Macaca fascicularis: one gene and its partners. The protein of the gene in region 1 interacts with the protein of each later gene in a pairwise test. Links are inferred from orthologs where the notes say so. Each region holds a gene or a part of one and is shown in the gene's direction. Other genes may lie near its edges.

What was found.
Region 2: the proteins of WWP2 (region 1) and HNRNPUL1 interact in binary tests that used the Homo sapiens proteins (3 or more experiments, as listed by UniProt). The link is inferred for Macaca fascicularis from reciprocal best matches to the Homo sapiens genes WWP2 and HNRNPUL1.
Region 3: the proteins of WWP2 (region 1) and ARRDC3 interact in binary tests that used the Homo sapiens proteins (3 or more experiments, as listed by UniProt). The link is inferred for Macaca fascicularis from reciprocal best matches to the Homo sapiens genes WWP2 and ARRDC3.

The regions. Positions count from the first base shown.
Region 1 is NC_088394.1:66,047,123-66,050,798, forward strand, and holds part of WWP2 (NEDD4-like E3 ubiquitin-protein ligase WWP2), read left to right. Parts: intron 1-975; coding exon 976-1,135; intron 1,136-2,826; coding exon 2,827-2,960; intron 2,961-3,285; coding exon 3,286-3,426; intron 3,427-3,676. UniProt on the Homo sapiens protein: E3 ubiquitin-protein ligase which accepts ubiquitin from an E2 ubiquitin-conjugating enzyme in the form of a thioester and then directly transfers the ubiquitin to targeted substrates.
Region 2 is NC_088393.1:48,413,512-48,417,187, forward strand, and holds part of HNRNPUL1 (heterogeneous nuclear ribonucleoprotein U-like protein 1), read left to right. Parts: intron 1-1,139; coding exon 1,140-1,213; intron 1,214-2,958; coding exon 2,959-3,098; intron 3,099-3,676.
Region 3 is NC_088380.1:95,368,897-95,372,572, reverse strand, and holds part of ARRDC3 (arrestin domain-containing protein 3), read left to right. Parts: intron 1-166; coding exon 167-314; intron 315-1,324; coding exon 1,325-1,427; intron 1,428-2,163; coding exon 2,164-2,420; intron 2,421-3,059; coding exon 3,060-3,222; intron 3,223-3,463; exon of another isoform or gene 3,464-3,501; coding exon 3,502-3,656; intron 3,657-3,676. UniProt on the Homo sapiens protein: Adapter protein that plays a role in regulating cell-surface expression of adrenergic receptors and probably also other G protein-coupled receptors.

The DNA.
Region 1 (3,676 bases):
TGGCCTTCTGCGCTGGCCCTGTGGATGGACTGTTCCTTTTTTCCGTGGTGACCTCCTCTCCAGGCTCTGCTTGGTGGGCTTCCCTGGTGTGGCCGCGCCCTGTGTGTGTCTCTCTCTGTGTCCTGCCAGTGGTTTTACCCTATGGTAGGTTACGTCATGCTGTTCTACCACAGGGTAGAACCACGGACAGGATACCGGGGCACCCTCTGCGTCGAAGGACTCCTCGTCTGCCCAGCCACAAACAGCCCAGCAGCCGGGGACTGGCCTCCTTGGGACGTCCCCTTGCTGGTTTAGCTCAAGCCCAAAAGGACTCTGAATTCATGCCTGAGGCTCGCACCCAGGGCACGGGTGTTGATTCAGATGAATGCTTGGAAGTGTGGGAATGGGGATGGTGTTGGGGTCTGGGGTGAAGGGAGGGCAAAGCGCAAGGGTGTGGCGTAGCTGGTGGGTGTGAGGTTTCTAATCTGAAGGCAGCATGGATTACGTTTTCATGGATTGGGGTTGGGAATGTGGTGCTCTGTATTTACATTATGTTGCCCACCAGGTAGAGCGGAAACAGGGTAGTTGCTATTCAAACAGAACCTTTGCAGAAAAATTATTGTCATAAACACGCATCGTGCCCTTGTGTAGTGCACAGCCTATGCAACTGAGCATGGTGACAAGGACCCCCTTTACCATTAGAAGCTCTGGATATTGTGATGTAAAGTCTCGGAACACATCATCTGGGAGCCGACGGGGACACGTTTCCCCAAACATCATCCTCAAATGCAGTTGCCATTCTGTGTAGAACAGAGCCCACCCTGTTCACTGACCAGCTGTTCATATAGGTTAGCGCGGGTGCTTGTCACGGGGCTTGACTCCCTGGGACACGTGTCCCCAGACTACCTGAAACACAACGGTGGAGAGTCACAGCTCCTGTGCAGATGTGCACCAAGGAACCCATTATTCTTGTCTTTTCTTTCTCTTCCCTCACAGAGAGTGGTTTTTCCTCCTGTCTCACGAGGTGCTCAACCCTATGTATTGTTTATTTGAATACGCGGGAAAGAACAATTACTGCCTGCAGATCAACCCTGCCTCCTCCATCAACCCAGACCACCTCACCTACTTCCGCTTTATAGGCAGATTCATCGCCATGGTAAGGGGGCCCCAGGGGTCTGCCTGGTTCCCTCCTCTCCCTCCTCTTCCCTCTCCTGGTGAAGTGTGCCAGGGGCACCAGGGGAATCTGCTCTTTCTCTGAGACCTCCAGGAAGGGGCAGCATTGGAGGAGGCCCTGGGCCTGTTCACCAGGAGGCAGCGTGGCGTGAACAGCAGCCCCCGTGGACTGGCGCGCCCTCTCTGGGCCCCACCCTTCGCCCCCATAGAGCTCGTAACCTAAAAATGTAAAAAGCTGGAGAGAGTTCTGGAGAAACCAGAGCTTTCTCAGTGGCTGTCCCGCAGGTAGTGAAGAGTTTCCACGCTGCTTGTATAGGACTTGTCGAGAGGAAGCCCAGGGTCTCTGGGCCACAGACTTTACTGAACATTAAATATGCGCTCTGTTGAGGGCCTTGGGATGACAGGGCCAGGTGAAAACATAGCTGCCCACCTGCTGCCTGTCTCTGGGAGGTGACACTGTCACGGCATTTGGGAACGTCCCACTGAGACACTAAGCCTTCTGGAAGGACATTTGGAGTCAACACTAGCTTAGAACAAAACCCTAAAGTCTGTGGCCCAGAGACCCTGGGCTTCCTCTCGACAAGTCCTATACAAGCAGCGTGGAAACTCTTCACTACCTACAGGACAGCCGCTGAGAAAGCTCTGGCTTCTCCAGAACTCTCTCCAGCTTTTTGCATTTTTAGGTTACGAGCTCTACGGGGGCGAAGGGTGGGGCCCAGAGAGGGCGCGCCAGTCCACGGGGGCTGCTGTTCACGCCACGCTGCCTCCTGGTGAACCGTAAACTGGCTGGTGCAGGGTGTAGGGACGTATGTCAGAAAGTGGGCCAGTTCTGGGGAGGGGCTTTCCCAGCATCTGTATTTAACTGGAAAGAAGGACACGGTGTGAATAGGGAAAGGGAGGTCCTGCCACGTGCCCCCTGTTGAGGGTCTTGGGAGTGTGGAGAACCCGATTGAGAAGCGGGGACCAGCACGGGAGCCACATTCATAGCTTGAGAAGTTTCAGTTCTCACTTTCCTTCGCTTCTTCCCCTGCCTTCCTGAGCTCCCCTCTTAGGAGGACCCAAGTGTCCCAGGAGCCTGTGACTAAATATGGCCCTTCCCATCGTCGGGGAGCTCTTGGCCAAGGTGCTGGGCTCTGGAAGTGGGCACATTCTTCCCAGGTCTAGAGACCCGCCTGGCCCAGCAGCCAACAGGACAGACCGGTAAAACCCTAGACTATTACTCACCATTGGCCGCCAGCTCTCGCTGTCAGCGGTGTCTGCATTATTTTTGGCTGCCTTTGCCACCCACCCTGAGCGCCAGTGAGTCAGGGCTGCCACCTGGAGCTGCTCTGAGCAAGCCTTTTCTGTGAGCGTGGGACAGACCTTTGCTAGGCTGGGAGCCAGCCGGCCAGTGTGAGGGGCAGATGCGGGCCCGGACGTGGGTTCCCGCGCCAGCTGTCTCTGCCCAGTCCCTGCGGTCTGCAGGGCAGGGTGGGAGTCCCTCTGTAGGTGCAAGTCAGGACAAAGGCGTTGTTTGCTCCCGAGGCCCTCCCGCTGCGTCCGAGGCAGCCGCTGCTGCGGTTCTGTCAGGGAAGGCGGGTGGTGGTAGCGGAGTTTGATACCGAGTATCCGAGAGCCAGTCTTGGCAGTGCCTGGGGAAGGCCCAAGCTCTGTGCTGTGCCTCTTCCTTCCCAGGCGCTGTACCACGGAAAGTTCATCGACACGGGCTTCACCCTCCCTTTCTATAAGCGGATGCTCAACAAGAGACCAACCCTGAAAGACCTGGAGTCCGTCGACCCTGAGTTCTACAACTCCATTGTCTGGATCAAGTGAGCTCCCTCCCCCCTCACCCCACCGCACTGATAGGAGGGACGTCTCTGGGCAGGGAGCAGGTACCGACGGCTTTTATTTTGTCTGCCAGTGTGGCCCCTGAGCTCTTGTCCAGCCTTTAAAAGAGCTAGTGGAGAGGAATGTCCTCTGGGTCCCCCGTGGACAGTTCTAGAATCCCCTCCTTGAGTCAGGAAGCTGTCCCATGTCACTGTTCAGGATTCTAGGCCACCCGTGAACCCTTGGTGTCCCATGGGCAGCAGAGCAGGATCCAGGAAAGACCCTGCCACGATAGACATCTCCCGACTTGGTCTGCTGTGCCCCCAGAGAGAACAACCTGGAAGAATGTGGCCTGGAGCTGTACTTCATCCAGGACATGGAGATCCTGGGCAAGGTGACCACCCACGAACTGAAGGAGGGTGGCGAGAGCATCCGGGTCACGGAGGAGAACAAGGAAGAGTACATCATGTGAGTCTCAGGCGCCGGGGCCTCCGCTCCAGGGGCGGTGCGGAGATCTAGTTGGTTGCAGAGCAAGATGGGCCCCCACCTTGTGGCCCATCGGTCACTGTGGATGCCATCTCCATCTGCCTCGAAGGTGGCTGCTGATGGGCCGTCATGTGATGGCGCGAGCTGGGGGACCAGAGCCGAGGTCCTTAGTTACTGACTCCCGGCTGCACTTTTTCCCCACGTGGGAGACTTCAAGCCTCCAGGGTGGAAT
Region 2 (3,676 bases), on another chromosome or scaffold:
CCACTGTACTCACCTGGATTAGTCATCTGACACATTCTGTTTCCTATCTGGCAGAGTCCACCTTCTTACTAGCTTGTTACTCTCTGAGACAGGGCCTGGATGTCCCAGGCTATGACTTAAGTTAGGACATGGAGCCCACCTCATATGGTGTTCTTCCACTGCTTGCCACAGAGCAGAGGCCTAGAAGCTACTTGCTGATGGAGAGCAGAGGAAGAACACTCGCTCTGATCCTGGGCTGGCAGGGAAAGTTTCGTAGAATGGACTTAACATGTGATGAGCACAGACTCATAAGATGAGTCTCATGAGTCTCCTTCATGAGTGGGACACTGGGCAAGTCATTCTGCTTCTCTGAGCTGCTCTTCAGGAAAGAGACTCATCTGTGTTAGCCCTGGCCTGGCGAGGCCAGAGGGGCCCTCCACCAGAGGGAAGGCTGCTGCTGGGAGAGTCAGCAGCCAAATGGGCATGGGCTCCCCATCTGTGCATGCAGTGCACTGTGACCACCCAGACTGTCCAGGCAGGACCCTGAGTGTTAGTTAGACTCTACCTTTCTACCCTTCTTCCTCATTCCTGTACAGCAGAAACCAACAGTGTTAAGTCCCTTTTTTAGTGTTTTGGTAGGAAAATGAATATCATTTATAATTTAGGACACTGAAAAAAATGGGTCATCTCAAATTCTCTCAGATGTAGGATTTTAAGAAGCCTGGTACATGGATAGATAGTAATTATTGGGATTTATCTAGGCTCTTGCACATGCCCCTTCCTGGACAGCACCCTTTTGAGATACCACAGCCTCCAAACAGTAACGGAGATCAGTGTGGAAGTGGTTGTCAACATGCAGAGGGTATGGATTAGAATCTTAGGGTGTAAAAAAAGAGCAAAAAAGTTCCCTAAATGATTCTGATGCCCCCTTCAGCAGAGCATGCCCTCTCCAATCCCTGTCTCCACCCTAGGAGTTGATGGTCATTGCTCTCATTGCAAGGATGTATGGTTCCAGAGTTCTTTTGCCCACTTCTGTGGGAAGAAATGGAGATTCAGGAAGCAGTCTGGAGGCCACTTGTAGATTATAGCAGAACATTCATTTTCTTTCCTTTGTGCTCATGTATTGTTCTTGTGTGACTTAACCCCCGTTTCTAACACAGGGGCCGCTCTCCTCAGCCTCCTGCTGAAGAGGATGAAGATGACTTTGATGATACCCTTGTTGCTATTGACACCTGTAAGTCTTTGGAGTGCCCATCTAATTCTGCCTTTTAGTCAGTATGGGGAAATTGTGTCTTGACCTTCACCAGAATCCCTGCCTGGCACCGTCCAAAGACATTGTTAGTCCACATGTGACACACAGCTTAGCTCTGGAGCAAGAGTCCTGGTTTGGAGGCAGAAGACCTACTCCCAACTCTAGCAGTGGGACCCTGGGCAAGTCATTCTACTTCTCTGAGCTTCCCTTCAGTTAATTCTGCCGTAATAACCTCAGAGGACTTTCAGGGAGACTCCTCAGTGGATACAGGAGCAATTTGGAAAACCCTGAACTGCCCTGTACACACAGAGGTTGTCATCTAATCAGGAAGGGAATCTGAGTGCTGCTGGGGAAACTTAACTCTTTTGACAACTAGTTCCCGTTTCCATCAGCTGCTCACGTTCTTGGTGAAACCAATGTCACTGTGTCCTCTGAGGCACAAACCTGGCCCACCCTGCTGTCTGTCCTCCACTTCAGCTTTCTTTCCACTGGATAAGTGGCTTTCACCTTTGCTGCGCATCTGAGCATTTGGAGGATTTCTTATAAAGGTCCTTTTCCTCAGACCTCCTAGTCAGAGTCTAATGAAGAGCCTGTGAATCTGAATTTTTATATGCACCCAGAAGCCCAGTCAGGTCTGAGAACACTGCACTTCTCAACAGAGCAGAAGATAAGCAGCAATTTATTCATCTATTTCTACAGAAGCTTATGTTTATAAAGCACTGGCTACATGCTTCTGTAAGAGATAAAGATATATACGGTCTCTAATATCGCAAGCTCTCAAAGACAAAATCTACCCAGAGTAGAGGTAAACATTGTTTAAAAAGTGTTGGGGGGCAGTGGTTCATGAGGCAGTGTCTGATGAAATGGAAATGTACCGACCACAGTGGTCAGCCTTCAGAGAAAGGAGAGTGCCTCATGGGAGGGATGGTCAGGAAAGGCTTTCTTGGAGGCATGACTGGTTGCTTGAATATTGAGAAGGGTAAGAGCAACAGTAGGAAAATCCTAGGCCTATGAGAGGAATTAGGAGCCTATGGGGCACCTGGGCATTGGTTCCTGGGTGGCAGGTGTGGATCAGGGTCAGATCCCTGTATAGCTGTTGGAAACAGAAGTCTGGTTCCCAACTTGATAGAATTAGCACAGAGGGCGGAATATATGGTGGTGGTGATCAACCTTTTTGTATTCTAAAATCTAGTTTGAGTCTGGGCAACATGGCAAAACCCTGTCTACGAAGAATATAAAAATCACCCGGGCATGGTGGCATATCCCTGTAGTCCCAGCTACTCAGGAGGCTGCAGTGGGAGGATGGCTTAAGCCCCCAAGATGTGTTCACTTGTGTACTCCTGGTCAGCACTTGGGGAACTTCCCTCTGCCTGTTTCTTAGGACTTTTGAAACATCAACCAGGTCGGGCATGGTGGCTCACGCCTGTAATCCCAGCATTTTGGGAGGCTGAGGCGGGCAGATCATCTGAGGTCAGGAGTTCGAGACCAGCCTGGCCAACATGGAGAAACCCTGTCTTTACTAAAAAATACAAAATTAGTCAGGTGTGGTGGTACATGCCTGTAATCCCAGCTACTCAGGAGGCTGAGGCAAGAGAATCGCTTGAACCTGGGAGGCAGAGGTTGGGGTGAGCCAAGATCACATCATTGCACTCCAGCCTGGGCAAAAAGAGCGAAACTCCGTCTCAACAAAACAAAAACATGAACCAACTGGGCTTTTTCCTTCACAGATAACTGCGACCTCCACTTCAAAGTGGCCCGAGATCGGAGTAGTGGCTATCCGCTCACAATTGAGGGCTTTGCCTACCTGTGGTCAGGAGCCCGTGCCAGCTATGGGGTCAGAAGGGGCCGTGTGTGCTTCGAGATGAAGGTGAGTAGGAACAAGAGAAGGGGAAGGTCAGAGAGGTCCGTCCATTGTAATATCCTGACACCAGCCACCTTGGTCAGAGCTACAACTGGAAAAGAGACTGGATCGTGCAATACTGTGTCCAAGCAGACAAAACTGTGATGAACTCAAGAGAACTACATCATTGCTAAATATCATATCAGAAAAGCAGGCCAACCATACATTGCTTCATCAAGCAGATATTTCCTTGGTGAGAGTTGACCCAGGTATTGTATAGTCAACCAGTGTAGTGATGACATGTTTGTAGAACTGAGAAAATACGTTGTTTGGAAGAAAAGTGATCTAGAAAGAATAGACTCAGGTGTCACTTAGTAAAGGGAGGCCAGAGGGAAAACAGGGCAAAGAACTGCCAGCTTAGGCCAGCATCTGCTGTGATCTCTGCACCGTTCCATGTCAAGTTATGTTTATGAAAATAATACATGCTCATGTTTAACAAAAGTTTAGACAGCACAGAAGAGTACAGGATAAAACAGGTTATTCTCGCCGGGTGCGGTGGCTTACGCCTGTAATCCCAGCGCTTTGGGAGGCTGAGGCAGGTGAAT
Region 3 (3,676 bases), on another chromosome or scaffold:
AGTTTTTTCCCCAATGACTTATCCCTTTGGAAATTTTTTAAATTACATGTTTGATACCTCATTGGTACATAAACGATACAATATATTAACACTTCTATTCTGACCTACTGTGTAATTGTTAGAAAGAGGTATAAAATTAATATATTGACCTTTATATTCTGCACAGACCACTTGCTACCTCATTCGAAGGCCGACATGGCAGTGTGCGCTATTGGGTGAAAGCCGAATTGCACAGGCCTTGGCTACTACCAGTAAAATTAAAGAAGGAATTTACAGTCTTTGAGCATATAGATATCAACACTCCTTCATTACTGGTAAGAATTGACTGAATTATTCATTCTTTGTTTTTGGCATATAAATATTAAAGAATAATCAATCACCTAAACTATGCAGTTGTCATAATTTAAAAATACTGGTTTTCTTTTAAAATTCCATAAATATACATTTTCTTAAATACAGTCAAGAACACTGAAATTAATGAAAAATATGCTCACATTTTTGACATTGTAGTACCTTTAAGTAAATATGAAACTAAGACCAGTATATGATATGAAGTATCTCTTACTCACAATATGAGTAACAAAAGCCATAACAACAAACAGATCTGGTCCTTGGATGATTTGAGTGGAAGAAGGACAGTAGTATCTTTTATTGTAATACAATATCACTTAACTTGACAACATCATAATCTAAAATTTGTACTATACTTTGTTATTCCAATAGAGGGATAGTTGTCAAATAATGGGGAATCATTCGTTTCATTAAAAAAACTCCTTTTTTAAAAGAATCTATTTTTAATTGCATTTGTCTGAGAATAAATCAAATTTGACTTAAAACTGTATTTGGTTTAAACAAATGATAACATCTTTAAAGCAAATAAGAAATGGGCATTTTCCTTTTTTTACATTTTTTTTTATATTCTCAGAGGAAGATGTTAACATTTGGAATTATAGTCAGATTGCTTTCTGTGCTGCCTTTTTAAGGCAGTTTAAATGGAATGTGGAAAGGGTTTTTTTTATTTGGTTGGTTTTTCATTACTGTATTTGTAAATAGTGTGAACTAAAAAACTGTTTATGGGAAACGCTGTACACCCTTTACCTTTTTTTTCTAATTGAATGGAAATTTATATAAAAATAAAAGTAATGGTATAATTCAAAACCATCAATTAGTTAAAAAATAAGAAGTATATCTGGATCCAAAAAAAAAAGCAAAACCAGTTTTAATTTTTATTTTTCCACAAATTTAGGATTATATTTTAAAATATTCTGGTATTGATTGTACCAATCCATACACTGACCTTTTTCTCTAAATTGTTTTCTTACAGTCACCCCAAGCAGGCACAAAAGAAAAGACACTCTGTTGCTGGTTCTGTACCTCAGGCCCAATATCCTTAAGTGCCAAAATTGAAAGGAAGGGCTATACCCCAGGTATGTATGAGGTAGATTCCCACAAAAAACTTTCTTCACTTAGCTTTTGTGTATAAATTTATAATATAACTATTAAATATCAACATAATATCGTATTCTTTTGTGAAATTACAAATTGTGCTTTTCCATTTGTTTTTTCACAAAATAGAATGTAGTTTCCTTTTTCAAATAGCTACTGATGAGTTCATTTCTATGACTCTTAAGTTATTTGCAGTTCCTAGGACACCTTTTCGTGCATGTTAGTTGCTCTTTCTTACTTTAGCTTTAAGAATCTTGATTTCTTGGCCAGGCGCAGTGGCTCAAGCCTGTAATCCCAGCACTTTGGGAGGCCGAAACGGGCGGATCACGAGGTCAGGAGATCGAGACCATCCTGGCTAACCTGGTGAAACCCCGTCTCTACTGAAAAATACCAAAAAAAAAAAAAAAAAAAAAAAAAAACACTAGCCGGGCGAGGTGGCGGGCGCCTGTAGTCCCAGCTACTCGGGAGGCTGAGGCAGGAGAATGGCGTAAACCCGGGAGGCGGAGCTTGCAGTGAGCTGAGATCTGGCCACTGCACTCCAGCCTGGGCGACAGAGCGAGACTCTCTCAAAAAAAAAAAAGATTCTTGATTTCTTTTGTTATTTTTTTCTAACCGGGCGACAGAGCGAGACTCTCTCAAAAAAAAAAAAAAAAGATTCTTGATTTCTTTTGTTATTTTTTTCTAACAGTAGATATGTATATATTTTTCCCTCTCTAGGTGAATCAATTCAGATATTTGCTGAGATTGAGAACTGCTCTTCCCGAATGGTGGTGCCAAAGGCAGCCATTTACCAAACACAGGCCTTCTATGCCAAAGGGAAAATGAAGGAAGTAAAACAGCTTGTGGCTAACTTGCGTGGGGAATCCTTATCATCTGGAAAGACAGAGACGTGGAATGGCAAGTTGCTGAAAATTCCACCAGTTTCTCCCTCTATCCTCGACTGTAGTATAATCCGTGTGGAATATTCACTAATGGTATGTACACATTTAAGAGGTTTTTTCCTTTCTTTTTTCTTTTTTGAAACACCTGTCACCCAGGCTGGAGTGCCACGGCACAGTCTCAGCTCTGCTGCAGCCTCTGCTTTCTGGGCTCCAGTGGTCCTCCCACCTGAGCCTCCCAAGTAGCTGGGAATACAAGTGTGCCTGTAGCCAGGCCTGGATAATTTTTGTATTTTTTGTCGTGATGGAGTTTCACCATGTCACCCAGGTTGGTCTTGAACTCCTGGGCTCAAGTGATCCACCCACCATGGCCTCCCAAAGTGTTGGAATTAGAGGCTGAGCCATAGTGCCTGGCCCAAGAAGTCTTTGGTGTTTTGTTTTGTTTTGTTTTTAATCTTAAAGTTATGGAGACATAATTTTGTCTTACATCCAGGTTTTTTAATTCCATATATAGTGACATATGAAATACATAACTCTTTATATAGTTTGACTTATAATTATACCTTATATGTAAATGTACTATATAGAATTATACATAAAAGAGAAACTTTTCATGTATGTAAGATAAAAAATGAAGTAAATGGGGGTTTCAAATAACATTAAAATTGGTTATTAGTTTTTGAAAAGGAAATCATACTTGGCATTCTAAACGTAATATTTCTTTGCAATGTTTAGGTATATGTGGATATTCCTGGAGCTATGGATTTATTTCTTAATTTGCCACTTGTCATCGGTACCATTCCTCTACATCCATTTGGTAGCAGAACCTCAAGTGTAAGCAGTCAGTGTAGCATGAATATGAACTGGCTCAGTTTATCACTTCCTGAAAGACCTGAAGGTAATTTGATAATACATATCTAAGCTTAATTTCTTACTATTATTATCAAGAAAATTATTTTGCTTCTGATATTTTATGACCCTAGATGAATGTAATCTTCCCCTAAAGAAAGTAGATGTGCCCCTAATACTCAGTTTTGATTATATGTCTTCATAGTTTTAATCACCAAACAAATAATTATTATTTTACCTTGACATTGCTTTTTAATACCTACTATTTTGTGTATTTTGACATGCATAAGAACATGCTGTTCGAATTGCGTGTATCTTTTTCCTTCAGCACCACCCAGCTATGCAGAAGTGGTAACAGAGGAACAAAGGCGGAACAATCTTGCACCAGTGAATGCTTGTGATGACTTTGAGAGAGCGCTTCAAGGACCACTGTTTGCATATATCCAGGAGTTTCGGTTCTTGCCTCCGCCTCTTTATTCAGAAGTAAGTACCTACTCTTAAGT